Linked DNA regions of Lonchura striata. The protein of the gene in region 1 binds, or shares a complex with, the protein of each later gene. Links are inferred from orthologs where the notes say so. Each region holds a gene or a part of one and is shown in the gene's direction. Other genes may lie near its edges. The genes, in order: TAF1C, TAF1D, POLR2K and RRN3.

Region 1 (7,200 bases):
CGTTTCTGCAGGCTGTCCATCTCCGCTGCTCCCCTGCACGCACACAGCCTTCTGCCCTGCATCTGCAACTCCCCGGGCCCACTCATTGCCCACGCACACGCCTCCCTCCCAGGGTGTTCCACTGCCTGTGCACTGCCTGCATCCTCCTCGCACGCACAACTCTGCACCCCACTGCTCATCTGTCTCCATGCCTCACTGCATGGGTACACCGTGCCCCACTGCACGCACATCCATGCATCCCATTCCACAGACATCCAGTACCCTCTACACAGGCATCCCTGTACCCCATTATGCAAACACCCCCCTGCAGACGCATCTCTGCACCCATCGCACCCACCTCATGTCCCAGTGTAGATGTACCCTGTGCCCCATGGCACCCCACACCCAACTGGGGACAGCTCTGTACTCTGCAGCATATCTGCCCCAAAGCCCACCGCATAATGGCCCCATCCCTTGTGCCACACTCACCGTGTCCCGTCACAGGTGCACCCCACATCCCAGGATGCCATCCCCCCATAGCTGCGTCCTTATGCTCCATCTCACCCACACCCTGCCCCACTGCATGCAAACCTCACATCCCATTGCTCATGTAGCTCATCCCAAGCTACACAGGTACCCACTCCAAGCTCACCCCCTGTGCCGCACCACATGGACCCCCGCAGCCCACACCTGCAGCCCTTCTCCCCACCGCATCTCACCCACTCCCTGCCCCGCAGCAGGCACACTCCGCATCCCATTGTTCGTGTACTTCACACCCATCCCAAGTTCATCCCTCTGCCCCACGGCTCCTCACGGAGCCCTGTGACTCACCTCCAGCCTTCCTGCCCACCGCGCACACTCCCGCGCTCCATTCTCACCTGGCCCACCCCACTGTGTGCACACCCCACATCCCATTGCTCGTGTACCTCACGCCCACCCTACACGTTCATCCCGCTGCCCCCGGCACGCTGTCCTGTGCTCCTCCGCACGGACCCCCGCACCGCGTGCCTGCAGCCCCCCTGCCCACCGCACACACCCCCGTGCTCCAATCCCACCCGCCCCGCTGCGCGCACCCCCCACACCCCGAGGCTCCCGTACCTCACACCCATCCCAAGCTCGTCATCCCTTGCGTCCCGCCGCACGAACCACCGCTCTCCGCTCCACCACCTCTCCCACCCACCGCACACACCTCCTCCGCGGTACCGCCTCGCCCCCGCCGCGCCGGCACCCTCGACGTGCGCTCCCGCACGCCGTCCCGCGCTCGCCCCGCCGCCCCACGCCCGCGCCCCCCGCCCCGGTCTCCCGGCGGCGCTCACCGGCGGCGGGCGGCGGCAGGAGCAGGAGCGGCAGGAGCAGCAGCGGCAGCGGCAGCGGGAGGCGCTGCCCGCCGCTCCCGCCGCCCCGCCGGGCCATCGCCGCCGCCGCCGCCGCCGCCGCCGCGGCTGCCGTGGGGCGCGCGCCTCCGGCCGCCCCGCCGCGCACCGGCGGCCCTGACGTCATCCGCCCCGCCCACCGGGACAGCCTCCCTCGTCGCCATTGGCCTCCGGGCACGTCAATCACCGGCGGGCGCGCCACGCCCCGCCCGTTCCGAGAGACAATTCCTCCCCTCCGATCCCCTCGGGATGGACCCGGCGCTGACCGGGGCACTAGGGGACAGCGACACGAGCGGGAATGGAGATGGGAAGCTGCGGGAAAGGGGCACCGCGTGGAACCCGAGATATGGGCCGGGAACTGGGGCACAGGGCTGGGCACAGGGACATGGCGCTGTAACGGAGATAGGAGCCGGGAACGGGGGCACAGGGCAGAGACACCGTCTGGAGCAGGGACACGGGCTGAGACCAGGAACAAGGCGCTGAGGGCAGGAACATGGTGCTGTAACTGAGATACGGGCCGGTAATGGGGTCACAGGGCTGGGGGCAGGGACATGTCTCTGGAACTGAGACATGGCCAGGAAGGGGTCACAGGGCTTGGGACAGGGACATGGTGCTGTGACAAGGATATAGGCCGGGAACAGAGATATGGGGCTGAGGGACAGGAACATGGGGCTGCAAACAGAAACATAGGTTAGGGGAGAGGGACAGAAACAATGACTGAGGACAGTGATGTGGGTCTAGGGGATAGGGATACGGGTCTGGGGACAGGAATATGTCCTGGGCACAGAAATATGTCCTGGGTACAAAAATATATAATGGAGAGGGACATGGAGTTGCTGGCATGCCCTGGAATTAAGGAAACGGATGGAAGGCAGCGAGGGCTACCTATGGAGCTGGAGGTGGTGGGGCTATCTACCCCACAGAGGGCTGTGTAGGGGGGTCAGGTGGTTTTCTATCAGTGGTTACCACCTTCTAAAAGCAAATTGTAGCATGTATCTTAGAGAGGAGGTGTCCCACAGAGGGGGTCTGGGCACCAGACTCAGGGATGCAGGATCCTCAGACTGCAGGGATGAGGCCATCTTGACTGGAAACAATCTCATCATGCTTTCCCAAAGTCCCCCAACATCATCCCCAGACTCTCCTGACATCACCATCCTCCTTGGCCATAATGGAGAAAGCAGGTTACTACTCATGGGCATGCTCCTCTCCCATCCTATGCTCCACACAGGGCACCCTGGGAGCTGAAGCAGGAGCAGCCACCCCACCATGTCCCTAGCCTGACTGCCCAGCAACCCTCCCCAGAGCACAGACCCCCATGCAGGCATGGCTGGAGGTTCCCTCCCCAATGCAGACCTCACCAGCACAGCTCCGGGGCCAGTGGCCTCTGACACAGGGAGGTAAAAGGACAGTTGTCCCTCAATGAGAAAGCTGGTCATGCTCTCCTTGGGAAATGGACTGGGGAACTTGTCTCCCTGCCAGATACTCTCCAAAAGCTCCAGGATCCCATCAGAACCCCATGGGACTAACATGAACTCTGTGTGGGTTCCCATGGGAGCTTGGTGGGTCCCTCGTGGGGAGCCAACAACCACCTTGTGGGGAGGAAGGAGCACAGAGCTGGGGTGGGAGTGGGTTCACCAAGGCCAAGCAGGTGTGAGGAAGGGCAAGGTGGGATTGGGAACTGGCATATCCACAACCTTCCAGGAGCTGACCTTCAACTCCACAGCCCTCAGATATCTGAGACTGTCCCATGGCCCCATACACTCCGCTGGAGTGTGGGGTGCCCCATGGCCACACAGCCGGGGCCACGGAAAAACAGGTGTGCCTCTGGCAGGTCTCACAGGGGGGTTTCACTGCTCTCGAGGCGGGCAGAGGGAAACAATGCCCGTACTCCTGCCCGTGCCCCGGCGGGGTCCTGACCCAATAATTCTCCTGTGCCTGTCCTGCCCCGGCCCTATCACACTATTCCCTGTGCCTGCCCGGTCCTGCCCCAGTTCCACCGCTTCCCCTACCCATCCCGTCCTGTTTCCATCTCATCCCACCATTTCCCTCCGCCCGTTCCCGTCCCGGTCTTACCACTTCGCTTTGCCCTTTCCCGAATGGGTCCCACCTCTTCTCCCGCCTGTTCCCGTTCCCGTCCCGTTCCCATCCCAGTCCTACTGCTTCCTTCTCTCTCTCCCGTTCCCATCCCAGCCGCACTGCTTCCCTCTCCCTCTACCGTTCCCGTCCCGTTCCCATCCCAGTCCCACCGCTTCTTTCTCCCTCTCCCGTTCCCTTTCCTGTTCCTGATCCCATCCCAGTCCCACCGCTCCTCTCTCCCTCTCCCGTTCCCGTTCCTGTTCCCAATCCCGGTCACACCCGTCCCCGCTCGTTCCCGGTTCCCGTCCCGCTGCCGGCCGTACGTTTTTACCCTCCGGCCGCCAGGGGGCGGTGGCGCCCCACATGGCTGTACCGCCGTCGGCGCTCTGTCCCGCGCTGTTCCCGGGCCGCTGATTGGTGAGCGGCGGCAGCAGCGCGCGGTGACGTCAGTGGCGGTGGCCGCGCCATCCCCGCCGGTGGCGGGAGCGGCGGCCCGGCCGCGTGCTGCCGCCTGTGCCCAGTGCCGCGGCCATGGAGTTCCCGGCCGCGCTCTTCCCCTCCTACTTCTGCGCCGGCCCGCCGCGGGAAGAGGGCGGCCCCGCACCGGCCGCCGGCTGGGGCGAGCACGGGCAGGTGCTGGAGGGTGGCCCCGGCCGCCGCCAGGTGAGCCCCTGCCGGGGGTCCCGGCGGGCCGAGGGAACGGGCAGGACGCTCATGGGCCGCTCTGACTCTCCTCCTTCGCTCCCCGCAGGTGCAGCCGGCGTTCGTGCCCCGCCGCGGCGCGACGGGCGAAAGGTGGGAAGCCGCCGACGCTGCGGCCGTGCCGGTGCTGCTGCCCAGAGCGGGTGAGAGCCGCGGGAGCAGGAGGGAGCTCTCTGCACGGGGGCTGGGGGAAACATGCCTCCCACGTCTATCGCTGCCGCTGCCCCGCAGTGCTGAGCGGTGACCCTGTGCTCGTGTGATGCCAAGCCACCTCTGCCTTCTCCCCACAGGCTGCTGGATCCCCTCGCCTGCACCTCAGGACATCCTGTACCGCAGCAGCCTGTGCAGGAAGCTCCGGATAGGCAAGTCTGGAGCCACTCTGGACTTTGCCAGGCAGGTGGGATTTGAGGCATTGCATCCTGGCAAGGAGCTATTTGGCAAGGACCTTTGCATGCACTGACCCTTTCTCCTTCTGCCCACACAGCTGGGCCATTTCTTTGTGGATCACCCAGAAGATGCTTTTGGCTCCCTGGGGCGTCTGCTGCACAAGAACTTCTATCTGGGAAACGCCAAGCTGAAGGTCACTGTCTGTCCAGGAGTAACAGTGCTGCTCCCCTCCTTTCCCCTTGCCAGTCTCAATCTCTGCTCCCTACTCCTGTAGAGACCAGCCCGGAATAGCACCATCCGGATGACAGCCCTGTTGGAAGACATTGACCGCCTGGAGGCCCGACGGTGAGTGTCCCTCTGTCCCCTGCCCTGCAGCAGTCTAGGGGAGTTCCTGCTCTGTCCCCCAACCTGATGCTGTCTATGCCCTGCAGCGGCTGCCCCCGGCAGCACTTGGCCTCCCGCCTGCGCTGGTTCTCCCACCTCTGTCGTGACTGGCTCTTCGAGGTGCCGCTGGGACTGCTGGCAGACTGCCTGCATGAGGAGCTGACGCAGCAGTGGTCCAACCTGCTCTTTGACGACAGCCTCACTGGGGGGGCACTGGCCTGGTTGCCCCCTGAAGACGGGGGGACAACCAGGGGCTGCCTGGTGTACCCTGGAGGGCAGGCTATGAACCACCTCTGTATCCTTGCCCATGGGATGACCCTGGGGAGGGAAGTGGGGGTTGTGTTGCACCACCCTTAGCCAGCATCCCAGATTTCCAGGATGTGGTGCTGGAGGGGCTGCCCCACACCCGAGGCTCCCCAGTGCAGTTTGAGCTCAGCGGGCGCATCCGGCAAGTGGCTGCAGCCCGTGTGGATGGGCAAGGTGAGCCAGCCCCAGCATCCACATCTCAAAGCAGACAAGATGTAGGGAGGAGGGGCAGCAGGGCACTCCTGGGATGTTGCCAGATTACATGCCAACTCCTTCCCCCTGACAGATTTTGTTGGGGTTCGCTCAGACTATCACTGTGGTGTTTGGAGGGTGCCGGGCAAGACAGGGGCAGCTCCTGCCCCACTACAAGTGATCCGCACCGATGTGCCTGCCTCCTGCCTCACTGTCAGGTGGGTGCTGGAGGAAAGGATTGTGCGTGGGGGGTGCTCTGCTGGCACAGCCCTGCTCTGTGTGGTGAGTTCTGTTGCACAATGATGATGCTGTGTCCCCTGTCCTGCAGCCCTCACCTTCCCGGGGAGCTGTCTGTCTGCACCCAGAGCGGGACTGTCTACCTCTGGAGCGTAGAGACCGGGTGAGATAGGGCATTCAGGGCTGTCTAGGGACACATGCAGACAGTGGAGTCTCGGGGGGTGGGAGGCCCAAGTGACTGGGGCAGCCCTACCCTGTGCCAATACTACTGTCTCCCCACAGGCTGCAGAAGCTCCGCCATGACTCCCAGACCATGTTTTTTCGGGACCATTCACCCTGGCGCTGGAGTGACTTCACAGCTCACCCACGAGTGCTCAGCTGTGCTGACCGCACAGGCCTGCAGTGCCTGGATGCCCGGGTGAACTTGGGAGGGTGGGTGTGTTGCTTGGAGCAGGCAGGGAAGAGGGTTCCACAGCCCAGAGTGCTGACTGCACCCTGTTCTACTGTTTCAGGCCCCCAAGAGATGCCACTTCGACTTGTTCAAGGTGGGCGAGGAAGCTGGCTGTCAGCAGGGCGAGCGTGTGGTGCTGCCCATGTACCTGGGTAGGGCTCACCCCTCACAGTACCTTGTCACCACCCAGGTGAGTCCCACCACAGCTGGGAGCTGGGGAAGACACGACACACAGTTGTGTCTCCCAGTGCTTATGGGGCATGAGGATTTTCCAGTGAGGGGAGCTGCCACAGTGCGTTGAGGTGTGTCCTGTCTGACCCAAGACTTCTGTCTTAGTTCTCCGTGTATGTGCTGGACGAGCGGTTGCCACTGGTGCCTGTTCTGAAGTGGCCACATATGATGAAGGCCCCTCCACTCTTTGCACACCTGATGCCAGGGAAGCCCGAGAGGAGCCACAGGGTGCTGCTCGGTGCGTCCCGCACCCAGGAGCTGTTGCTGTTGCAATACCGTGGTAGGAAATCAAGCTCCAGAGCCAGGGCTGCTCTGTACCCATGTCCTAGCTGCTGGGATCAGCTGCTGTTCTGGCACCTGTGCTAAACAGACGGTATTTGGGGTGTTTCCTCAGGGGGCAGCCAGTCGGCCTGTCAGCTGGCTGGGACTCCGCAGAAGCTGCACAATATTGCAGGGTGCCTGCAGCACCTGCCCACCCAGCTCCCACACCGCCACCACCTGCTCCAGCAGCGCCTGTCAGCTCCAGCAGCAGGTGAGTGTCCCACTCTGCCCCAGGCTGCAGGTCCTGGTGAGGGAGAAGGTGGAACAGAGTGAAGTGTAGCCTTTGTCATGGCCTGGCTGGAGCGTGGCTGAAAAACCAAAAGCAAAGCCCCGGAACAATCCTGCAGAAGAGATTCATGACACAGAAAAAGATGTACAGGGCAGGAACCAGCAGTGAGAGTGCCCACTGAGGGGTGGAGGCAGCCCTCACTGCTGGCCAGGCCCATGGAGTGTTCCTGGGGCTGGAACTCTGGTAACAATGCCTTTCCTTTTTCCTGCAGGGCTGGCTGCCATGCTGCAGGAGGATGGACCACACAAGTCCATGTTGATTTTCCAGCTCTC
Region 2 (7,210 bases), on another chromosome or scaffold:
CAGGTGTCTCAAAATAAAGAACAGGACATTCAGTGTGTGATCTCAAATCAGGTGGTTCCTTATCTATGCAGAAGTCTTTCTCTGCCTTTGTTTACTCCAGTTAGGGTTTCAGCCATACCTTACCTCTCAAGATCAGATCTACCAAGCTGTTGACCAAAAGTAGTAGCCAGTACTTGGTACATTTCTAAATACATCTTGGTACCTTCTGGCAAGTGGACAAGGACAGTAAAAGGGCATTCTTCAAATTATACCCCAAATCTGAACAATTCCCAGCAACACAATTCCCAGTTTACAGGAGATCCTCAGGACAGATGGGGAAAAAAGGGAAAATTCTGCTTTGTGATGAAATTTTTCTGATACTCTTTCAAGCTGTTCTACTGCAAGTACATGGTGTTCTCTGCAGAGCTTAGAGGTCTACAGCAGCCCTGGCCTACTGCCCCCATCTGACTGGATGAGAAAAGCACTGAGAACCACCCAGGGCACTGCTGGGACCACACGTTCTCAACACATGGAAATGTCAAACTGACACAGATCTGGGAAAGTGGCAAACTGAACTTGAGGATCAATCTGAAAGACAAAAAAACTTCAGTATATCTGCTGCAGGGGAGAGACTGCTGGAATAATGTCTTCCTCCTAGGGCAAGAAAAGAAGCTCATGAGCATCTGGGCCAAACCTGTAAGTCCCTTCCAACCTCAACCATTCTGTTATTCTGAGTAGATCTTGCAAAGGCTTTGGAAAGAAGTAAACTACAGAAGATGTTTCCTGCAGCCCTGTTCTAAGGCAATCACAAAAGGAGGAGCCAACTATGTTCAAGCAAGAGGATCTGCCATACTACACTGCATCTTGTCATCTGCCATACTACTACAATGCATCTTGTCAGCTATGTTTTGGGCAGTCCTGAAAAAGAAAGAAATATTAGAGGATAGAGGAGGACAGATAATTCTGTATGTGTAAAGAAGTTTGGTGTGTAGTGGTCAAACTTTCATGACCTGCACACAAATCTGCACATGCAGCAGTTTTAAAGGAATTGAGCCTGTGCATTTATCTTGGGCCCTTGGGGAGGACTCATTGTTTGCTCTAAGAAAATAATCTCATTATATAGAGAAACAGTGCTGTTTTTTACCTCTCGGTGTGCTAAAAGCAGGAATTCTGCATGTCCTAGCTGTAGAAAGACTTTGGTATGAGTTTTAAGATAAGTTTGAAGAGTACATTACAAAGTAGTGTATAAAGTAATGTATAAAGTCACGTGTTGCATTACTTACCCCCAGCAAGCTCCTCCAGACTTGGGACATGAAAAGCAAACCTTTCGACTTTGGCCATTTCCTGATCAGTGCTGATTTCTTCAGGTAAGAAGTTACAGTACAGCACACTGCAGAGTAAGTGGTCTGCCAGCAAAGATAATAGTTTAACAATTTAAACATGCTCCTTTCAACATGTTAATTATTTTTCAATTTCACTCTAGAATACATAGAAAAAATAGAACTGTAGTTCTACCATCATAGGAGACACTGACATCTTCAATAGCACCATTAAATTTCGTATGCATTTTGGAAGAAGATGTGTCTGTCAGCCCTATAGCTGGCTCAGAGCATTACACACACTAGTCCTCAAGCTGACAACTGGGTGTAAAGAAAACATATCCTACGCTGAATGCAGTTCAAGTGGTCAGGAGATTTGGGAGTCTTTTTGTAAGGCTGGAGTCACAAGAAAGTTTTGAAAGAAACCTGAGCTTTCCTGAGCACATCAACTGCCTCCTAAGGTCTTCCTGAATTTAATGTTTACTTTTCCAGCACTGGATGGTGGACTTTCAACCGCAGCTGTGACATGGTCTCCAATTGATTCTGGGCATGTGTTTCCCCTTCCAGAGAGGAACAGGCTAGCAGCAAAATAGAAATCAACAGCAGCAAATTCTGCAGTATCAGACTCTGTAGCCATACAAAAAGTGTCTTAAAAACCCAGTGTGTACTATAACAAAAAGTTTTGAACATGACTTTAAGAGCCCCTTCAGAAATGAACTGCACTGCAGTCAGCCATGCAACAGCAAAGCCAGCTAGAAGGGCAAGCCACTAGGTCAGGGCAAAAACAACTGATTGTACACTACCTAAAAATCTGCTGCAGCAATCATTAACTCCTTAGGCACATACCACATACTTGCTATACACAGCAATAAAAAATAAAATGGGTCCTATTTACCCAGATCTCAGGTGGAAGAAGGAAAAAGCCAAAATCCTAACTACATTCCTAGACCTGAGTCTTTGTTAGGAATGACTATTGTATAAGACAGCTGCTTACATATATATTTAGCTTCTGTTTTTAAAAAATCCTAACTTTTATGACTATCAAAAAATGTAACTGTCCTTACACCATTAGCATAAAGGGAAAAAAAACCACCAAACCAGTGGAAAAAAGAAGATGAGTAGGGAGATCGTAGCAGTCACTTAACTGAAATCTTTAAGCCCAATGCTCAGCCACTCCAAGTTACTGCATAGCAAGCAGTAGAGAAGGGAAGAATGACTGCAACCTGTGTATAGTAATTCTCATCTTAGTTGGTCCTATCTATCTCCACAGTTGACTTCATCCCTCCTCTGGCTCTGGAAAGTAGCAGGCTGGATTTGGTGCCTCTGGTAGAAGCCTCATGTCAGGCGGAGTGAATCATACCACAAGACTTTTAGTGTGCACCAAGAAAGGGAGTAATGTAAGAACATGGCTTTGGGAGCATTGTTTTAGACAATCCTCACCACCTCAAGAACCTTTTGCCACATCCAGGAGGAGGCTGTGCCAATGCTCAACACATTGGTTGTCCTAAAACAGCCTGAGAAGGCAAGCTATAATTGCTGCTGTACAAAAGGCAGGGACAAGACTTGTACAATACCAGTATAAGTTAGCTCCCCACAATCAAGAAAGGAGGGAAACACTGTGGAAAAATTTGATGTAGCATAATAAACCCAATCTGATTGGCAGGCAGTTGTTCTTACCAGGAAAGACACAAAAGGGTAGATCTGTAGCCCACCACTGCAAATATTCACAGGGGAGTGAATTGTGTAGTGTGGGGACAGAGAGAACCCGAAACAACAGCATGCAATTAAGATCCGTCACAGAGGGTTGCAGTGACACTGAATCGCTACAGAAGACTTTCAAAGGAAGAACACAAATGCTAAAGGGATGATAAAATTGTTATAGATGTGGGATGGTGCAACTAGAATGGAGGCAACAAGTATGCAAAGACTTAAAAGTCTACCTTTGAAGTGGGAAGAAAACATTACAGAGAGTAGCCAGGTGCCAGGAGAATACAGATGAAATGTGAACCATTAGATTGATTATATATGTGGATAGTCTATTGTCAAAACCTGAACTGAAATTAGCTTGGAGACTTAAAGCCAAAAAGGAGAGATTACAGGCAGGTAGACACGAATCGGGGAGGGAGGTGGTGGGGGAAGAAATATCAGTGGAAAAAAATGAAGACGGCAGTTGTGAGAGAGAAATGTAGCGATGACACCAAGACATCCATAGGGGCAGAAGCGGTATTTCTCTCCTGGGGCGGTGCGAGGAGATCCCGTACGGGGCAGGGGAAGGCTGCGCGGCAGCAGAAGCTGTTCGAATGGCTGGGATCTGGGGAATCACGGCAGGTATTTACAGGTGTGCTAGGCGAGGCTGGGGTCCGTAGGGACTGGGAGCACCCCAGCAGGCAAAGACAGCGAAGAGTCCTGGAGCGAGGGAGCGCTAAAGCCGGCATAGCTGCGAGGGGGAGGAAGGGGCTGCTGAGGCTGGAGCAGCCAGCTCGGAGGAGCCTGGGCAGCGCGGGGAAGGACGAGCAGCGCAGCAGGAACCGGAGCCTCTCGCCGGGCGGGAAGCCTAGGGAACCCGGCAGCTGCCCGAGCTCTGCCGCGCACCGACCGCCGCTATCGCCCGTCCGCACGTACCTGCCCTGCCGCCGGGACTGGCACAGCAAGGCAAGACAGGACTTGATTCGATACGGCTCGGCTCGGCTCGGCTCGGCTCGGCTCCGCCCCCGGGCGCGGCCGCCCCGCGGCCACTGCCGGCATGGCGCCATCCTCCGCCCCGCCTCCTTCCCGCGCGCCTCTCGCGAGCTCCCGGCGCTACTTAAGGCGCGGGCGGCCATTGTTCTCTCTTTGCGGCGGGGCGGCGGCGGGCCAGGTGGGTGCCGCGGCCGGGCGGATCCGCCGCCATCCGCGCCGCGGGGGCCGGCACCGAGGGAGCCGGGAATGGAGGGACAGCCCGGGCGCTGTGGAGTCGTGCCCCGGGGGCTGGGGCGTGTGGCGGCGGTGGGTGAGGGGCCCCGCGGGAGCGCTGCCGGCGGGGTGTCCCCGGCCCGTGTGATCGGTGCGTGCCGGCGTTTGAAAAGCCGAGCCTGGCGAGCGGCGTGCTTGGCGCCTTTGGCAGGTTCTTCAGCCAGTTTAGGTGGTTGTTTTCTTCCCTAAGGGATCTGCGTGGCCGGAGCTGTGGTAGAGGCCTGGAAGGATACTGAGCTGCGCCTTGTGAGTACTAGGCAGGGCCTGCGCGGTCAGAGGGCGTTGTCCTGCTTCTGGCCTTGGCTGGTTTTGTTTCTGGGCTTTGTGTTTGCCAGGCCGAGGGTGAGCCAGTGTGAGCAGTGTGCCTGCAAAGGCATCGTGAACCTAGCGTGCGAGTGCCTTCTCCTGTCTTGAGGGGCCCGAAATGAAACACAGGATTTGGAGGTGTGGCCTCATCAGTGCTGAGTATAGCGGGACAATCCCTGCCTTGGGCATGCTGGCCACACCAGTGCTGATCCAGGCCAGGATGCCACTGGCCTTGGCCACCTGGGCACAGCCTGGATCATACTGAGCTCCTGTTGGCTAGCACCCCCAGGGTCTTTGCTGCTGTAACCCAAGTGGAGGATCTGGCACTTTGCCTTGTTGGACCTCAACTCAGTTGGCATCAGTCCAGCCTGTGCAGACACCTCTGCAGAGCTTTCCTGCCCTCCAGCAGATCAGTATTCCCACCGAGCTTGGTGTCATTTGCAAACTGAATGAGGGTGCACTTAATCCCCTTTTTGAGGTCATCGGTGGAAATTAAACTGGTCTGGCCCCAGCACTGATCCTTGGGGAACATCACTTACGACCAGCTTCCAGCTGGATGTAACCCCCTTCAGCACTACTCTGGGGGCCCGGCCATCCATCCAGCTTTTCATGCAATGAACAGTGCACCCATCCAAGGCACGAGCAGCTAGTTCCTCCAGGAGAATGCTATGAGAAATGGTGTCCAAAGTTTTACTAAAGTGCAGGCAGACAGACAACAACCACGGTGTTTCCTTATACACTGGTCATAGAAGATCATCAGGTGGGTCAGTTGGGATCTGCCTTTTGTAAATTCAAGCTGACTGGGCCTAATCCTTTGGTTGATGTACCCTCAGGATCATTTGCTGCAGGTTATGTGAGGACATTGGATGAGCTCTGCTCTAGTGTCTTCAGATGCTGAACTGTGTAATTGCATTTGAAATATTAATGGGTATGATGATGAGTTTGTGAAGCTCTTAAAAAGCACAGTAAAATTAAAAAGATGCAGGTCTACAGGGCTAGTAAATAACTGGTAAAATAACTAAGCACATACAGAGGAAAACTTTGCTGTATGTTATAGTCCCTTTTGTATAGACTTGGGGCACTGAAGAGCTAGACTGTGTTGTCTTGAATATTCAAGTGAAAATTAACATTTTAGTTCTGGAGCTGGTCTCTATGATGATTGAGAACCAGTGAGCAAATAGATAAATAGATTTCTGAGAGCAGGAGATTTTAGGTATCCTGCAGCTCACAAAAGAACAGAAGGAAAATGGCATTGCTTCTTATGGTGACACAGTCTTGGATTAAAGTTTTTAAACCACAGTGAACTAAATATTTATGTATAACTTAAAACTGCATTATCCTTACAAGTATGAGAATCCATTGGCTATTTGTATGTGTGCTTGTTTGGAGGAAAACTTAACCCTAGTAGGGAGAGGGTTAAAATATTCAGAATTAATCTCAGTGAGTCTCTGGTGTCCAATCTGTTGGACCACTGATGCTTGCCTTCCTGTGGTCAAGAGCTGAACTAAAAGGACTCTAAAATTTTTTCTGTCCTCAGTTATGATATGAGTGTCTTGAATAAGTGGGTGTGAGTTAAATGTTAGTATGCAGAATATAACTGGTTATGGTTCATAGGAAAGCACCCGCTCCAGATTGTTCTTGTAAGTTTATCCTGTGACTGTGAGTGGAGTAAAGTCTGTTGCCTGATTAATGTAAGTTTTTTTTAGTTTCTTCAATTCTCATTTCCTTTTGGGGCAAAGTGAAACATGACTGATACAGATGAACCCCAGGCATCTGGCTCTGATTACTCTGATGTGCAAGAGCTGATCAGCCATCAGCCGCAGGAGCCATCTGTGATGTACTCATGGCAAAGGAATACAGGAACAGAGCGGTCAAGGCAGAAGGTGGCTGCACCTGGGGAGTCTTCAGATCATCCTAACAGCATGTGTGAAGCATCAGCAGCTTCAGCTGAGGTTTTACTGATCAGCAGTGATTCAGAAATGTGAGTTTTTATCTCTAGTTCAGAATTTTTCCCATGGAGAACCTGTGTGATGTGTCATAAAACTGTACCTTCTTTTGAAAGTAAATACTTTCTTCTTCTTCAGTGATGTCTCTGCTGCTCGTCCTGAGTGCTCCATTGCTTCAAAGCAGAAAAGGAGATCTCAATCTTCAAGGCAACAAGATGAGTCTGTTACAGAGGTAGCTGACAATGAAAGCTCCTCAGATTCTTCATGGTCTCCCCAAAGTCCAGGGAATTCATTAGACGTTTCCAAGCAGCAGAAGTCAAAACTCAATTTGAAGGCCATTTTTGCCTATCACTTCAGGGGAAGGAAGTTCAAAGCAGCCGCACACCGAAAATACAAAATTTACGCACGGAAGAACAAGAAGAAAAAAAAGTATGAGGGCACACAGATGCCCACAGGGAGGCCCCCACTGACAGCCTCACCTCAGGAACAAAAGAGGAGGCTTCTAGACAGAGGTTTTCAATTTCCTTTTGTTGAAAAACATTATGGGGAGAAACATATTCCCTTAAAGATGGTTCTTGGCTATGAGGTAAGCCCTCTGTTTTGTGGGATAAACATTTTATTAGTCTAAAAATTGTGAATTGAAATGGGCTCTGTGGTGTTTCTACTAAAATAAGACAAACAGTTTTTACTTCAGTTAAACAGGATATT
Region 3 (7,561 bases), on another chromosome or scaffold:
CTAGTCAGTTACAGAGGAAGTAACAAAATCCACATCTACTAAGGATAGATTTATGTGCTCTGTGCACTTCTCATATCTATTATTAATTTTGCACTTCTCAAATCAATTTACAAAGCAACTGCAAACTTTCTGGGAGTTTACTGGACACAATAATTCATATTCAGAGACCCAAACTAAATTTAGGACAGGATTCACAAATTTAGAGAGGGAACAATTTCTAACAAGTTTAGTCTCACCAAGCACCCTAGAGAAGGAAGAATGTTGGTTACTAGAACCAATGTAAGTGGTGCCTCCAACTTAGACAAATTCTAGGATGGAAACACCTGTTCCTAGTAATTTGTGTTCCTCAGTAACACACAGAACACTTATGCATGGAACAAGACATTTTTTGCCTTTTTTAAAATCACTGTTCACCACTGCTTACAAAAGAGATAAAGACAAAGTTTTGGTGATACAGAAGTATTTTCTCTGTTATTTAAACAGATATGGTATCTGTAAAAAAGACTGCTCTTTGACCCCAAAGTCATTGATACCTTCCAGGTAATAATACTGAAGATGACACAGCCAAGTCCTGTCTGCATGATATGGGCCACTTACCCTAATTTGTGAAGCAAATCAAGATCTTCCAATGCAAAGGCGGTGTATTCAAAGTATTGCTTACCCCTAGTGATAACCTGAAGTGAGAAAGGATGTGGAGAGAAAAGAGAGAGGTCCAAGAGAAACATTACCCAGCTGAGACAGTTTTCACTCCACAAATATGTGTTAACTGCAATGCCTAATTACCCAGCAACGGCGATAAATGAGATGTAGCTGAGGACCAGCACCCGAGGGTCTCAGTCACCTGGGATGCCGGACACGAGCAAAGCAACCGCTTCGCCCTCTCGTCCGGCAAACCGGTGGGCACAGGAGCAGAGCCTGGAGGCCGCCCTGCCACCGGGCGCAGCTGAGGTGGCGGCGGGGCACCCCGAGCAGGGCTGCGGGCGAGGAGCAGGAGTGAAGGCGGGCTGGAGGAGCTTCAGGAGCTCTCGCCGCCCGGGCCGGGCCCGTTGCCCTTGGCGAGGAGCCGCTTCGCTCTCCCCAGCCGCACCGGCCCCCCGCGTGCGGCCGCCGCCGCTTTCCCTCGCTCGGCTTTGAACTACCCGCCTCACCAACCGCTGCCTCCCCGCCCCCGCCGCGCTCGGCCCGGCCGGCAGCCTGAGGAGACCGCCCCTCGGGGACGGGAGGGAGCACCAGCGAGGCTTGCCCCGCTCCTCACTCCTGATACCGGGGCCCCGAGGCCCCCGCCGCGCCCAGCCCACGCTTGAAGCGCCCCTGAGTCGCTCCTGCCCCTGCTGTGCTTCCCCGGAGGCGCCCGGTGAGGGTGGGGTTTTCCCGCCTCTGCCGGAGCCCGCTGCGCTCCCGAGGGCGGAGGGCAACGGCGGCGGGGGCGCTGAGGGGTGGCTCGGGGGTGCCTGGGGCATTCCCCGCTAATAACCCTTATCTGCGCCGCAGCCTTTAATCTCGGGTTATAAGAGTACTAGTTAATTTGAGTTAATTAGCTTAATTACCTTTTTACCGGATAGCCCAGGACTAAAACAGTCACAGAGCGTTTGTCAAGTACATCACCTTCAAAGCAGTCGGTGAAGGATCCCCGACTCCAGCACCGCACAGGTCCTCATGGACCCAATAGAGTCTCCCCAGGTACTTTTTGCCAGAGATCCCGGGAAGGACCATTCTCCCTGGCTACAGTGCAGAGTACTTATTCCGCGCCCTGTCCTGTCGTGAATGGCCTAAGGGTTACTCCTGTTTAATTTGTTAAAAAACTTGTAGTAATTCAGAAACTGGCTCCTGGATTTTGCTGTGGTTTTAGTTTTTCTGCATACTAAAATAAACTAAAACGAGAAAACCGCCAAAACTAGACTACGTGGATGGATGTTTGTCCTGGGCTCGGTAAGGATAGCGTGATTCTTCACACCGGCGGGATGGGGAATGGCAGACCTGAATGCGAGACCTAAAACTGGCTCTTAAAGCTACACCTATATTTTAATATGCAAACTCCCGGCTTAAGTAACGTAACTCTTGTTCGTGGGTTCTGATATTTGTCAGCCTTCCCCTTTGGCAACTCCGCTCTTCCTGGTGTGAGGCAGCCTGAGAGGGGGCCGAGGAAACAAGGGCTTAAAAGTTCCCGACCCAGAGCCGGCGGAAACTGACTTCGAGGGAAAGAATATCTGTTTATTTGACTACAAGGTAACAGTTATGGCTTAAAAGAGAAAGGCTCTTGGACTATCTCCCCCTTCCTTTTTAGAAGGAGAAAACATTAGAAACTTCTTTCAAGGTAGTCGAAGATTTCTGAAAGTGCTTTCTGTAATACCGTCTGCTTCACAGGAACTGAATAAAATTGTTTTTCAAATATTTGTATTTATTTCTAAAATACCTTCTCAGTAAAATTGGAAGCTTACTAGTGAGACACAGCCACTGCAAGCTCTGTCTCCGTCACTCAAATCTGCATGGATTTATGCGAGCTGGATCAAAAATATCCAAGAAATTTAGCAAGTCGTAATTGCGACATTTTATGCAATACACAGAAGTGTCACACTACAAAGTGTGTTAAAAAAAAAAAAGTTCCCATCCCAAAAAACCACCGCAACAAAAACCAACCAAGAAAAAAAAACCCAAAAAACAACACAAAAAAAACCCCCCAAGACCTGAGAACGCAACTTCTAACAAGTGAAACCAGGTGAGACGTTCTGAAATAGTCGCACTGCGCTCGGTTCCGGCTGCATTTCCTTCCCCTGTCCAAAGTACCTGTATCCCTGTGCTTTCCCCATCTCGACACACAAATCTTTCTTCTCATTTGCCTGCCAATTCCCCAATAACTATTTCACTTTACAGTACAGTGGGAATCTCTCAGACAGTCTCCACGCTCTCTGCTACTCTAAATCCAACGGAGCATCTTTAGGGCTGGAATTTACCAGCACATGGGAGTGGGACTTAGCAAAGCGCTCCTCCCGTAAGGGGCGGATTTTATCGGAAACTGCTGAAGTGAAGCTGTAAGATCTGGTAAAGCATCCCATTTTTCCAAGGGAATGTTTAAGGGATACCAATAATAAAAATATTTACATTATTTCTTTATTAATAATGGAAACATTATTTTCACGGGATTAACCGAATCTTTCATGGAGATATTTTTAGTAAGTCCTTTTAAATTTGTCCGTTTGACAAATGAGTTTTTAAAATACCAGTAAGCCTAGAGAAACAATAACCGGGTGTGTGTGGGGGGGGGTGCTTTTTTTAGGAGTTGGAAATTTCTTACCGTGCCTTTATCGATAAAGAGCCCAGGCTGTTTCTCTCCTCTGTTTAAACCTCTTGGTACCCACCTATACCCACAGCTCCGTAGCAGAGGAGAGGATGCAAGTAGTAACCTATAACAGTACCTCTGCCTTTTACAAACCATTTTTCTTGCCTGTGCTTTATTCTGGCACTCCAGAGCTTTATTCTTTAAGAGCAGTGTGAAGAAGCAAGTCTAAAGCCATTACTGTGATTTCATTACGTTTAATTTAAACACAAAATGAGGGAAACTGCAACTATTTATTATTACCTGAGTTCGTTTTAGGTAAGTTACATGTCCTGTATGAAGGTGATTTGCTGGTAGGAGAACATCAATGAATTACAACTGATAAAAGCTCATCCTTATTAATTTGGATGCTTAGGAAACAATTTTTATTCAGTATTCAGAAACAGAAAGAGATCTTTCCTTAAACTAGGGAATCTTTGAATGATCTAGTAGTTTAAATTGGCATATTCATAAAACATAGTATTCGTTAAACATTGTGGGAGGTGGGGAGAAATACAGCAAAGATTCCTAATTCTACAAACTGTCAGTCGAAGATTCAAAATTCCTACCGCAAGCGAGGTGGAACCACTGACAAAGAGCAACCGGTGTAGTTTCAAATCTTGCTTGCACTATTTTAGTTCAGCACATCGGGGAATACCGACATATGAAGTTCTCTCATAATAGAACCTTACACATAAAATGCGCAACATATATGTTTGTAGTATATAAGTTTGGCTTCATGTGGGTAAATATGATACCGACCACGTCATCAAAATATCAAGATGCCGGCTTTATCCACGAATTTTAGGTAAAATGCTTCTGAAAACAGAGAGGACCTTGAGGCAGAACACCTCGGTGGATTAAAACTCCGCAGCCGTAAGACCAGACCTGGTGCGGGCTATTCTTTATCCCGAGTATGTTGAGTACAGCTAAATAAAATAATGAAAATACCGGGGACCTTGGGGCTAGTGTTACCTAACCATGCAGCTGCCTACTTTCTTCACACTGCTATTCATATGGAAGCTTGTGTCTTAAAATAATGTGTGCCTTTCTTCTTCTTTTGGTTTGTTTTTTTTTTCTTCCCTTTTTTTTCCCCCTGTCTTTTTTCCCGCGGGTGGCTAGCACCCGGAGCGGAATACCGACTCCTTTCTCAGCCGCGCGGCGCGCCCCGCCGCGGAGGCCGGCGCTGGCGGCGGGGCGGAGCACGGCCCGCCCCCGCGGGCGCTCGTCATCAGCGGGCGCCGGGGAGGCGGCGAGCCCGCGGAGCTGCGGACCCGGTGGGTGCCTGCTCCGGCCTTCGGGTGTCCCCTTCGCTGCTGGGCGCTGCTGGCGTGCCCGCGGTGGGCAGGGACAGGCCGGAACCAGGCTCGTGGCCTTCGCTTCTGCGCGCCAGACCCGCGGACAGTGGAGGAGGTCGGAATCGGGGCGGGATGGGGAGCCTGGGGCCCGTGGGCTGTGCGAAGGGCTGTAAGCCCTTCTTCGTGGGCTCTGCGGGACGTGAATGAGCGGGTTGGCTTCTTTCACGGGTGCATAAGAGATGCTCGGAGAGAGGACCTCATTAATATGCAAAAATATCTGAAGCGAGAGGTGCCAAGAAGATGAAGCCACGCTCCTCTTGGTGGTGCCAAGCACTAGGACAATAGGCAGCAGGCAGAAACTGAGGCATTGAAAGTGTCGCCTGAATCGGAGGAAGAACTTCTTTACTGTGCAGGGTTGCATACTGGAACAGATTGTTCGGAGAGGCTGAGGAATTCCCCTCACTGGAGATGCTCAAGAACCATCTGTGTGCTCTCCTGTGCCGTGTGCTGTAGAGTGATCCTGCTTAAGCAGGGAGGTTGGACCAGATGACCGACTTCGGTCCCTTCCAGCCTTTCCCATTCTGTGATTTGGTGAGGTGCTCTTGGCGCATGGTACCCCCACGTCTCTGCAGTGGATCCTGGCTGCACCCCAGCACGTGTTGGTGCATCACTGGGCCTGTTGGCTCTGTCAGCTTGGTGGCACATAGGGCTGTAGGGTGTGTAAAGGCCAGCTAAGCTATGGCACCTCCCTGCAAAACACAGAACTTTAGTTCACTGCTGCCCTTTGCAGCAGTATAATTTTGCTCCATAAGCAGCACTAGCCCAAGGTATTTAGCTACAACTGTGATCCACCTTAGTTCAGCTCTGTGTTTTAGAAGAGTCCGTTGTTTTCCAGTGGTAATTGGTGACTGCACATATCTTAGTGCAGTATGCTGACACAAAAAACTATAGCACATGTGAGTTAAGATGCCACTATGAATATGGTGTAGCATACTTGAAAGCTGTAGAAGTCAATGGATTTTATCAAGTTCTCTTAAATGGAGTGACATAGTGGGAGTTTTAACAAGATGGTTTGTCAAGTGTTGATCAGACTCCTAAAGTATGAAATGTCCCTGTCCTGTTTTCAGTATCATAATCTTCCCAGCTGAACTTATAATGAAACAAATTCTGAAGATGAGGGAAATAATCTTTGCTGTAATGTTAAGCAAAAGCATCTGAGAGCCATTCTCTCATGGGAAGCAAAGGAAGCATCAAGAAGGCTATTTACTGGCACAAGGGTTAGGAATTCCTCTATGTCAGAACAGCAATACGGAAAACAGCAGCCTCAGAAAACCTAATAGGAAATAATTAATGTTCTCACCTAGACTTGAATTGGGTGGGGGAAAAAGTGTTTATCTATGTACAGTAACCACCTCAAAATTCATGGTTGCATGTACATTTACATGTAGGATAGGATTACTTAAAACTTGGAGGAGTGTTTGTGGAGTATATGCAACTATTTAGTCTGATGCCATGAAGAAATACTTGTCTTCAAATATGTCTGAACAATCAAAGCGATTATAGGACATTAAGAAGTATTTGGAGAATAGCATTGAGTTATTACTCTTGATTTGGTAGGATTTGAAGGGTTGAATTTTATCTCCATGACCCCTCATTGTTCAGGGTTTTTTCCCTTTTGTTTTGCTTTTTAATTTCTGCTATTTTTCTACCTACAGTCTGTTCCCAATATTTCTAATACCTTAGAACAATGAGTTAGCTAGTGTGTCAGAGAGGGAGGAAAGATGACAAGGCTTACCATCTTTGTTAGCACCATTGTTACATGAGTGGCATATAAGAAATTATTGAATTTTATGTTTCCAGCAGGGAAATTCCTAACATTGGGAGGAAGGAGGAAAGAAAGTGATTTCATGTTCTGTTATGTTTAGCTTGAGATATTAAAATGATTGTGTATGCCTTGGGAAAAAAAAAAAAAAAACCAAACCCAAAAACCCCAAACCCAAGCTAATGTGCATGTTGTGTATTTTTTGTTTTAGAACATGGATTCACAGAAGGACGTTCAGCCTCCAAAGCAGCAGCCAATGATTTATATTTGTGGAGGTAGAAAAAAGACATTTAATGATTTTTTTTATTACTTGTTACTGGAGATTTAGTGTTCTAATAATGAATAGTGCTTAGTCATTATACTGAAGGGTACATAGATACAAATACTTGCAGTGTATATCCTGATGATGTTTAAAGCTTTATGCATTGATGGTAACACATATATGGAGTACATATGCAGTGTTGTGGAGATAATTCTCTAGAGCTTGTGTTGCTGTGTGGAGCTCCTCGATCTCTATATGTTTTATTGACAGTGCTGTTAGGGCACTCAGCTTTCCCTGAAGTACAGTAGTCAGATTCTCTCTTACCTGTAGATTAATTGATGACTTAAAAATTGGTGGTTTTCAGGTATCCCTAGAATATTATGTCTTTTAAGACAATAGACTTTGGGCTTTGGAGGGATGAACTAAAATTTTCATTAGTAGATGATCTAGTATCAAGTGTGGAATGTGTTCTATGCAGTAATATTTGGGTGATTTTTAGCAAGATTTGCTTTTATCTTAAATATAAGTGAAGCTTACTTTTTATTTTCTCTTTTTTTTTCACTGTATCTTATCATTGAGCTTTTGATACAGATTCATTACACTTGCTATGTTTGTTTGCCACAAATAAGAATTTGACTGTCATAACTTCTCAAAGTTATCTGTGCATTAACAGTGCTGTTCTTCTTTGCCCCCACTTCATTTTTCTTCCTCCATAACATCAGAATGTCATACGGAAAATGAAATAAAGGCAAGAGATCCTATCAGATGCAGAGAATGTGGCTACAGAATAATGTACAAGAAAAGGACCAAAAGATGTATCCTTTTACAAGTACACTTGAGTGCCGTTGGAAAGCTGTGGATGGAGA
Region 4 (7,897 bases), on another chromosome or scaffold:
TTGCTGATAGACCAAATCCTCTCCCCATCAGGAGATATTTATGAACTTAACCAAACGGGTTAAACATGTTTGGGCAGATATTGCCTGAGAAGGAAAAAAACCAGCACCCCCCACACACACATTCAGAAACAAAACAAAACAAAATCCTAAAAACAAAACAAAACAAAACAAACCCCAAACATCCTCTCTTTATTTTCATTTGGAAAATTTGAGCATTAATTTTTGAAATTATGAAAGGAGCATTCTACATTGTTCTGATTTCCCGTCTTAAACATTATACAGTAGACAAAGGTGAGAATTTTCATTACATGGAATGTTTCTATTAAAGGAATAACAAGTAGATTAGAATCCTCAAGCCTGAAAAGAGATGCAGAATATAAAGTGTTCTAGAAGTCTATGCAGTCACTGTGGGAAAGGTATGAAGTGCTTGTCTCCCAAGGCAAAGCAGGCACAAACTGTCATGTGCTATGTAAGTGAAGTATGTGATTACTTGACATGGGACAGTGGGACAGATAAAAATTTACTGATTCAAAAATTCAAAGGACAAAGCAGAAGATACATGATAATATAAAGATAATATATTTGGCTAAGGAAGACCTGGGGCAGTTGATATCCTGAGGGGATATTACTTGTGTGCCATATTGTTATGCCTTCATTGAGACATCACACTTGGCCACCATTGGAGATGGGCTGGTGACTTAATGGATCTTTTCTTTGGGTTCCAGTTGGCTGTTCAATATGAGGAAAAGTACTTTTAAGACTGACTTTAAGTAACAGTTTAGAGTTATATTTGTTCTAAGCCTATTTTGGAGTAACCATTTCTTCATGTGTTACCTTCAGGATCTGTTGAAGACATGACTAAAGATGTTACGGCCCCAAAAAGTGGGGAAAATGCTGCAAATTATGGAAAGAGATTCCCTACTCAAGACAGTAGGATTCTCTCATTGTGGAATAACCTCTGCAAGCATTGTGGACTCTCCATAAAATGGACACGTGGAGCCATATCTCTGCCAAAAGCACCTATTTCAGTGTTGGACTGGCTATGCTTTGAAATGGTGAAAAAAGATTCCACAAAATCTTTTTGAGAAGTGACAGCTAAAGAGAATTGAACCTGATTCATTGAAATGTCAGTGCAGCTTGTCATATGGTTGGTTTTATTGTGTTGTTTCAATTATTATTATTTTCAATAACCTGAAAGGTTTGTATAAAAAGCTCTTGCACAATGAAAAGCTCTTGCACTGTTTTTTACCAAGGTCTGGAAGTTAAACTTACTGTGAATTTTTATAATGCCAGTGCAATACTTTTGTTTGTAAGGGTGCTTTTAAAATCTCTATATTAAATTGTTGACGCAAAGCTGCAAATGTAGTAGAAGTTGTTTATAGTGTAAATACACAATTTATAGCATCTCTTGTAAAAAGTTTCATTGTTATTCTGAAATAACCTGGAATCTGAGACTTTATAAGTAGACCCCAGTGATGTTGGTATACAAGTACATTCTTTGTAGTAACAAACGATGTAATATGATGACACTTGCAAGAGTAATTTTTAGTCCAGTGATGTTGGAAACTATTTTCCTAATGCTGAAGCATTTGAGAGAGAGAACATGACCAAAAGAAACTCTGTTGATTAACAAGTACCCCAAGGCATTGTAAAGCATTAACAAACAGTACTTGGAAAAAGATTTATATTAATGCTAGTGATACCTAAAACTGTGCTAATGATAAAATTGTGTTGAGAATTTCCTCAGGAGTTCTTCTGGTTTTGAAGTTACACTAAGAGTTTGGTGCCACCATCAGCAAATACTGGTAGGGCTTAAAATTTCAATGCACAATTGTTCTATGCCACACCTCATTGAATACTAAAGGTGGAATTAAGGAAAATATTTGCTAAGAACACTGTGGCTGTACTTCCTTATGAACTCCTGAAATGTCTTTCAGTGTTTTCTTGTAAAATTACTAGAGTAACTTCTTTTCTTTGCATATTCTCATTTTAAAATGCTTTCCAAATGCTCTATCTTTTAACAAATTCAGAAGAACACTAAACTTGAAGATCTGCAATGTGATTTCTCCTTTACTATCTGCAATTTTTAGGAGGTGTATGCAATTTGTTTCCTGCTTTTAATGGAACTGCAATGTGACACCACTCCAGTGTTGCAATGGCCTGATTAAAAAAAACCCAAACAAACCTGTAGATCAGTTTTCATTTGCAATAATTTTTTGTTCGTTTCATTTTTCCTGAACAGAAAGAGATGCTTTTTCTGATTCCCCATTGTTTCACTTATAAAGTGAATTATGAGATACACTGTTTAATAAGTGGAATAAATTAAGCCAAAACTCATATATGTAGCTCACATACTTAGTTTGTGAAAACCAAAATTTTCTATTAAAATTTTTCTATTCAAGTGTTCTACTCTATTAAAGCAATAATAATTGCTAGAGTGAATTGAGCAGGCCTTTGCATTCATTGTATATTACGATGTAATTAATCAAATCCAATATCAGTACTTAATGATTGTTGTATAAGATGGTAGCTAGAGTGCAACTTCACTCAAAAGTTATGTAGAATTCCAACTAGTTTACTAGTATGAATAGTATATATTTTAAAAATGAAATATAGGAACTGACCCATCAGTTAAGGAGGATGTTAAGCACAGAAAAGCACTAAAGCACTAGAAGATGGTGAGACCAAATAATTAGACAAACAGTACTTGCTGTGGAGCAGTGATATGATACCTATTGTAAGCATTGTAACTATTTTCTTTTTGAAAATGCATCCAGTTACTCTTACATGCAATCAGTTTGCCTTCTAAACAGAAACTGGGAATCACCTGCAGTTACACATTAACAAATATTTAACACTATTTTAGTTTCCTTATCAGCTCTGCCAATGCAGCACAAAGTCCATTCAAAGAACTTTTACATTGTTGAGTGGAAGGAAGCTCTTGGACATGTTTAGGACTGCTTGCTGTTGCAGCTAAAAGAATTCCTCTAGCCATTGAAGGAAGTCTTATGTGTGCTGTATAAAATCTTAGGCAAAATCACAAAGAACCAAACTAGTTCCAGAAGGGTGGCTACAGAAGTCTTTTGCTAGTTAAGTCTTAAAACTAGCTCAAAATGTCATCCTACATTCCACTAAAGGAAAAATACCAACCTCCAGCTTCTAACTATGTAGATGGATTAAATGCTTGTTAGACTTTAAACGTGGACTGCATCTAATGGAAGATTTCATGTGGTGTATAGTATCTACTTAAATGGGAATATCTTCATCATCATCAAGATTATATTATTAGTAATGCCTACAAAAATCTGTTTGATGTAACTTGTGAGAGTTGCTGGGAGTGACATAATTATTACAGTACCAGTTTGTGTAGAAAAGAAGCATAAGTGTATACAAAGTTGAGAGGGCTAAGGTCAAATAATGTCACGTGTTGCTGTAGCTAGTTTGTGTGAATGGGTGAAGTAAATTTTACACATTCAGCCAAAGTAAGCTTCCAGCAGATTGGATGTTACTGAAGAACTACACAGGAAATTCAAGTCTCTGTTCATACTTACCCGGGTTGCTGTGGCAGCAGAATTTGTGTGTGTATACAATCTTTCAGGAGCAAAACCAGTTACTAGCTCTGACACAGAAAAGTCCATAACACATTTTGTTTAATGACTGGTGCTTTAACATAGACCCAGCCTACATAGGGAGGATGAAAACATCCAGAAATCTCACTGGAGTTCCTGTGCCTCTATTCTAGCAAATCCATTATTACTTCCCAAGGTCAAACACTGCTTAATTTAGAGCAGATTCTTGGCCCTTTTTAATCTCAATTAAGTTGTTTGTACCATTTAGTTTATCCCTTCGGATTGCAGTTTTTAGTTGATAACCCGGGCTGGCCGTGCCCTTGGTGTCACCCGTGCTGTGAGGGGCTGCCCGCGGCTCCCACTGCTCGCGGCGAGCTGCCCAAGGGGTCGGGGAGCGCTCGCCTGTGAACCATCCCGGGGTGGGCTCGCTCCACCATGGCCCTGGGGATCAATCTGGATTTCTGCTCACGCACCCCGGGACGCTGGGATCGCTACCGGGAGTCAGTGTAAACCCAGAACGGTGACGAGAGTAGAGCTTCCCGCTCCTCTTGCCTGGCTTCACCACGGTGGGCGGGGGCAGCGCCGCGGCTGCTCCTTCCCAGCGCTCCCTTCCCGCTCAGCGCTGCCGCCCGGCGGTGCTGCTCCGAGCCCGCTCGGTGCCGCCGCCCGGCGGTTCCGCTCCGAGCCCGCTCGGTGCCGCTCTGTCCCTCTCTGGTGCCGCTCTGTCCCGCTCGGTGCCGCTCTGTCCCTCTCTGGTGCCGCCCTGTCCCTCTCTGGTGCCGCTCCGAGCCCGCTCGGTGCCGCCGCCCGGCGGTGCCGCTCTGTCCCGGCTCGCTGGTGCCGCTCTGTCCCTCTCTGGTGCCGCTCCGAGCCCGCTCGGTGCCACTCTGTCCCTCTCTGGTGCCGCCCTGTCCCGCTCGGTGCCGCTCCGAGCCCGCTCGCTGCCGCCGCCCGGCGGCGCGGCGCGGCGGTGCGGGGGCGGGCCGCCGGCGCGGTTTCCGCCCGGCCGCGCAGTTTCCGCCGGAGCGGCATGTGGCGGCGCGGGCGGCCGGGGCGCGCCGGGCGCGGGGCGAGGCGCCGCTGGCCCCGGTAGCGCGGGCGCGGCCGCCGCCGCAAGGCAAGGGCGGGCAGCGGGAGGGATCCTGGGAGGGGAACGGCGGCCCCCGCGGCTCTCCCGGCTGAGGAGGGGCCCGAGAGGTGCCCGGGCCTCCGAGCGGTGCTCACGCGGCTTCCCCTCCCCGCAGGCGCCGTGACCATGCTGGGAGCGGACGAGTTCATCAGCTCCCCGCCCAGGAAGACGGTGCGGTTCGGGGGGACCCTGACCGAGATCCTGCTGAAGTACGAAAAGGTGACTGCGGCTTCTCAGGGGCCTGCGCTGCGCACGGACTGCTGGTTTCGGGGGTCATTCCGTGAGAACACTCGTTTCGCCTTATGCAAGACCGTGCCTGAAGCCTTAGGGAAAAAATTGAAGGCGGCTGAGCGTTGTAGGCTTGTGCCAGGCAGAATTGCTGTGCGAGCAAAAAGATTCCCCCGTGAGTCAACCTGCGTGGCTGGGTGAATGTAAAGCCTGGCTTATGCTAAAGTGTGCACAGGGATCCAGCTGTGTTTGCAGGGAGAGCAGCTGAAAATGAGCCAGCAGCCTCGGTTGCCTTCTGGGATGACACCCTGTTACTGCTGCTTTCCTGTTACTGTTCAGCTTTCTTGAGCTGGTTGTCTTGTATTCTTGATGTACCTGTTCAATAGTTGGTTGTTCAGATGCATTGATGAAATTGGTAGTTTTTACTGAAGGAAAAAAAAAAAGTAATTTATTTATTTTTGTTTCCCCTGCTAGGGTGACACTACAGATTTTGAATTGTTAAAACATCAGCTATCAGATCCAGACATAAAGGTAAGACTTTGATAGTCAGGGGTCTGATGATTTAAAGTTTGTCTGTCTGAGTGTAATCACCAGACAAGTCATTCTGGTGACTACACAAAGCCTTTGCTTTAAAGATTTAAATTTGATTAAACAGCATTTTTTTCTTTGCAAAAACCATCAGGATTAAAACTCTAAATGGAAAAAAAATGTCTTTTTTGTACGCATACGTATATGCAGGATCTTTATAAATGATGTCTCATGCTTACTGACCCTGTTCTACCCTTGAGTCTCTGTTCCAGATACCATCTTTTTAGGTCACTGATGGTTGATTATGGAGACTCTTCTGTAGATCAGACATGGTTTCTAATTTTCATAGCCTTAAAGTTGCATCGAATTTTACCTTCTGTTCTCACTAAATCTGATTTAATTAGGCAGTAACACACATATGCATTTAGTAGTTATACCCAGAAGTATTGTTTCACAGCTCTTCTGTATAGCTACGAGCACTAGCCATGTTTGCTGTTTCAAGATTTGAGTGTCCCTTCTGCTTAAACTAGAGCAAAAGAGAAAAGAAAATGATGATGGAATACCATTTCTTTTATGTTCTGTGTGAGGGAGGTTTCATGCCTTGCTTAATCTGACTGAAACCTTCATGTCAGTCTGTTGGTTTAGGAGCTGGCATGAATGTATTCTGCATTCAAGAACTTTCATTGGTGAGGGCACAAACTGAATTTCCTTTCATGTTAGTGTGAAAACAATTTCTATTTACAGCCTTAATCTTTGACTTCTAAGGATTTTGGTATTTTCTGCTAATAGGTAGTATTGTTTATTGAAATAGTTAACCTATTTTTTTCTGCTGATTTAAAGGATGCCCAGATCATTAATTGGCTGCATGAATTTCGAGCTTCTGTTGCATATTTGACCAAAGAGCTTGGACAACTGGTCAACATTTTGCTGGTAAGTATCTGTTTGCTACATGGGAAGACTAAGAGTTTAGTACTCAAAACATCCTTCTTTGACATCTTGATCTTTGCTTACTTTTAGAAGCTACCATGGTTGAGAAGGAGCCGAGAGGTAGTGGAAGAATATCTGGGCTTCCTTGGCAATCTTGTGTCAGCACAAACTGTGCATCTCAGGCCGTGCCTGCGGATGATCGTGTCACAGTTTGTCCCCCGTAGGTTACTTCTCTCTTATCGGTCTTTGTTTGCTCATCAAAATCCCTATATAGATAAGTTCTGTATAAACACAGTCCATAACACAATTAATTATTGGGTTATTGAGTTTTTTCATGTTGACTGTCATACAGATAGTTTTCTGTACCTAGATTTTAGAGGATATATTCTGGGTGCTAATACAGATCTTGTTCTGAAGATGTCTTGGAAATGAATGAACTGTATAATATCTTAACTACTAAAAAACCAAAAGCTGAAGTGAAGATCATGTCAGATGTTCTCAAGAACCTCCTAGTTCTGTAAATAACAGTCTTTAAGAAGGTCTTGCAGCTAATTTTGACGCTCTAGTTGTGCTGGAGACTGTTGTTCAGTGTATTTGCTACTGAATTTCTTACCTATAAGATGTATACAATTGAAAAAAGATGTAATAATCTTTTTTTTTTTTTTTTACTAGCTCGAATAACCATCAGAGAAGATGATGTGGATATTTCAGATTCTGATGATGATGATGAAAGTGAGTATAAAGTATATAGATATACATGCTGCTGTAGTGCCTTTACCGAAACAGTATCCAGTGCATGTTGCTCCTTTTTTACAAAATTAATTGAGCTGAGTTCAAGTAAAACATAAGAAACATCCTTAAATTCCTAAGTCAAAGACTTTCTTGTACTCAAATCAATGGTGTGCTGACCCACTTATTACTTTGAAACTATTCCTGTTGGTGCTGTATCTGTAGGAATAGAATGCATAGGGAAACATTCCTAGACCTAGGTTGTTTCAAAGCCAAAGAAAAGTTAGTTGTTTGCTTTCTATTTTATTTATCTCAGTGTACACCCCCGCAAAAGAGCATTTTGGCAAATGCAGTTTTCTTGGGAATCATTCAATTGTGTAGTTGATATGAACTGTTTTTACTGGTTCCTGATTTACTTTTCTGTAACCAAGTGCATAAGAATTCTTTTTTCTTTCTCTAGACATCTCTGAAAACTTTGATACATGCCACAGAGCATTGCAAACTGTTGCAAGATATGTTCCTTCGTAAGTACAGAATCCCTTGGGTTTGTGTGCCCTTTTCTTGCAGATTTAAAGCTTGTGAACTGATGGGTTTTTTCCTATCTTAATTGGAAGCATAACACTTCATTTCATTACATGAATCTTCCTAGTATTCAATAACTGGTAGACTGCTTTATACAAACATGGAGTTTCTGTCAGGCATCAGCCGCTGAAAATCCTGTTAACAGAAATGGGAGGTAGGAAAAGTGGTGTTGATAGTGGCTTCTGTATTCTGTACTCTATAGTGA

The links.
Region 2: TAF1C (region 1) and TAF1D share a complex: the UniProt entries of both Homo sapiens proteins name them as parts of the transcription factor SL1/TIF-IB complex. The link is inferred for Lonchura striata from reciprocal best matches to the Homo sapiens genes TAF1C and TAF1D.
Region 3: TAF1C (region 1) and POLR2K share a complex: the UniProt entries of both Homo sapiens proteins name them as parts of the pol I pre-initiation complex. The link is inferred for Lonchura striata from reciprocal best matches to the Homo sapiens genes TAF1C and POLR2K.
Region 4: TAF1C (region 1) and RRN3 share a complex: the UniProt entries of both Homo sapiens proteins name them as parts of the pol I pre-initiation complex. The link is inferred for Lonchura striata from reciprocal best matches to the Homo sapiens genes TAF1C and RRN3.

What each region holds. Positions count from the first base shown.
Region 1 is NC_134642.1:39,697,667-39,704,866, reverse strand, and holds the start of TAF1C (TATA box-binding protein-associated factor RNA polymerase I subunit C), read left to right. Parts: upstream 1-3,959; coding exon 3,960-4,091; intron 4,092-4,179; coding exon 4,180-4,273; intron 4,274-4,420; coding exon 4,421-4,527; intron 4,528-4,614; coding exon 4,615-4,710; intron 4,711-4,791; coding exon 4,792-4,862; intron 4,863-4,948; coding exon 4,949-5,196; intron 5,197-5,270; coding exon 5,271-5,381; intron 5,382-5,493; coding exon 5,494-5,617; intron 5,618-5,727; coding exon 5,728-5,799; intron 5,800-5,918; coding exon 5,919-6,054; intron 6,055-6,148; coding exon 6,149-6,277; intron 6,278-6,423; coding exon 6,424-6,598; intron 6,599-6,712; coding exon 6,713-6,850; intron 6,851-7,139; coding exon 7,140-7,200. UniProt on the Homo sapiens protein: Component of the transcription factor SL1/TIF-IB complex, which is involved in the assembly of the PIC (pre-initiation complex) during RNA polymerase I-dependent transcription.
Region 2 is NC_134604.1:39,303,258-39,310,467, reverse strand, and holds the start of TAF1D (TATA box-binding protein-associated factor RNA polymerase I subunit D), read left to right. Parts: upstream 1-4,090; 5' UTR 4,091-4,156; intron 4,157-4,440; exon of another isoform or gene 4,441-4,497; intron 4,498-6,289; 5' UTR 6,290-6,301; coding exon 6,302-6,537; intron 6,538-6,640; coding exon 6,641-7,088; intron 7,089-7,210. Other genes in the region: BKGD (ester hydrolase C11orf54 homolog), read right to left, coding at 1,263-1,320. UniProt on the Homo sapiens protein: Component of the transcription factor SL1/TIF-IB complex, which is involved in the assembly of the PIC (preinitiation complex) during RNA polymerase I-dependent transcription.
Region 3 is NC_134603.1:21,794,248-21,801,808, reverse strand, and holds the start of POLR2K (DNA-directed RNA polymerases I, II, and III subunit RPABC4), read left to right. Parts: upstream 1-4,538; 5' UTR 4,539-4,726; intron 4,727-6,644; 5' UTR 6,645-6,647; coding exon 6,648-6,708; intron 6,709-7,417; coding exon 7,418-7,510; intron 7,511-7,561. UniProt on the Homo sapiens protein: DNA-dependent RNA polymerase catalyzes the transcription of DNA into RNA using the four ribonucleoside triphosphates as substrates.
Region 4 is NC_134618.1:8,938,850-8,946,746, forward strand, and holds the start of RRN3 (RNA polymerase I-specific transcription initiation factor RRN3), read left to right. Parts: upstream 1-4,609; 5' UTR 4,610-4,686; intron 4,687-4,813; 5' UTR 4,814-4,824; coding exon 4,825-4,917; intron 4,918-5,400; coding exon 5,401-5,457; intron 5,458-6,294; coding exon 6,295-6,384; intron 6,385-6,471; coding exon 6,472-6,601; intron 6,602-7,053; coding exon 7,054-7,113; intron 7,114-7,570; coding exon 7,571-7,634; intron 7,635-7,897. Other genes in the region: transmembrane protein 238, read left to right, coding at 841-850. UniProt on the Homo sapiens protein: Required for efficient transcription initiation by RNA polymerase I (Pol I). Required for the formation of the competent pre-initiation complex (PIC).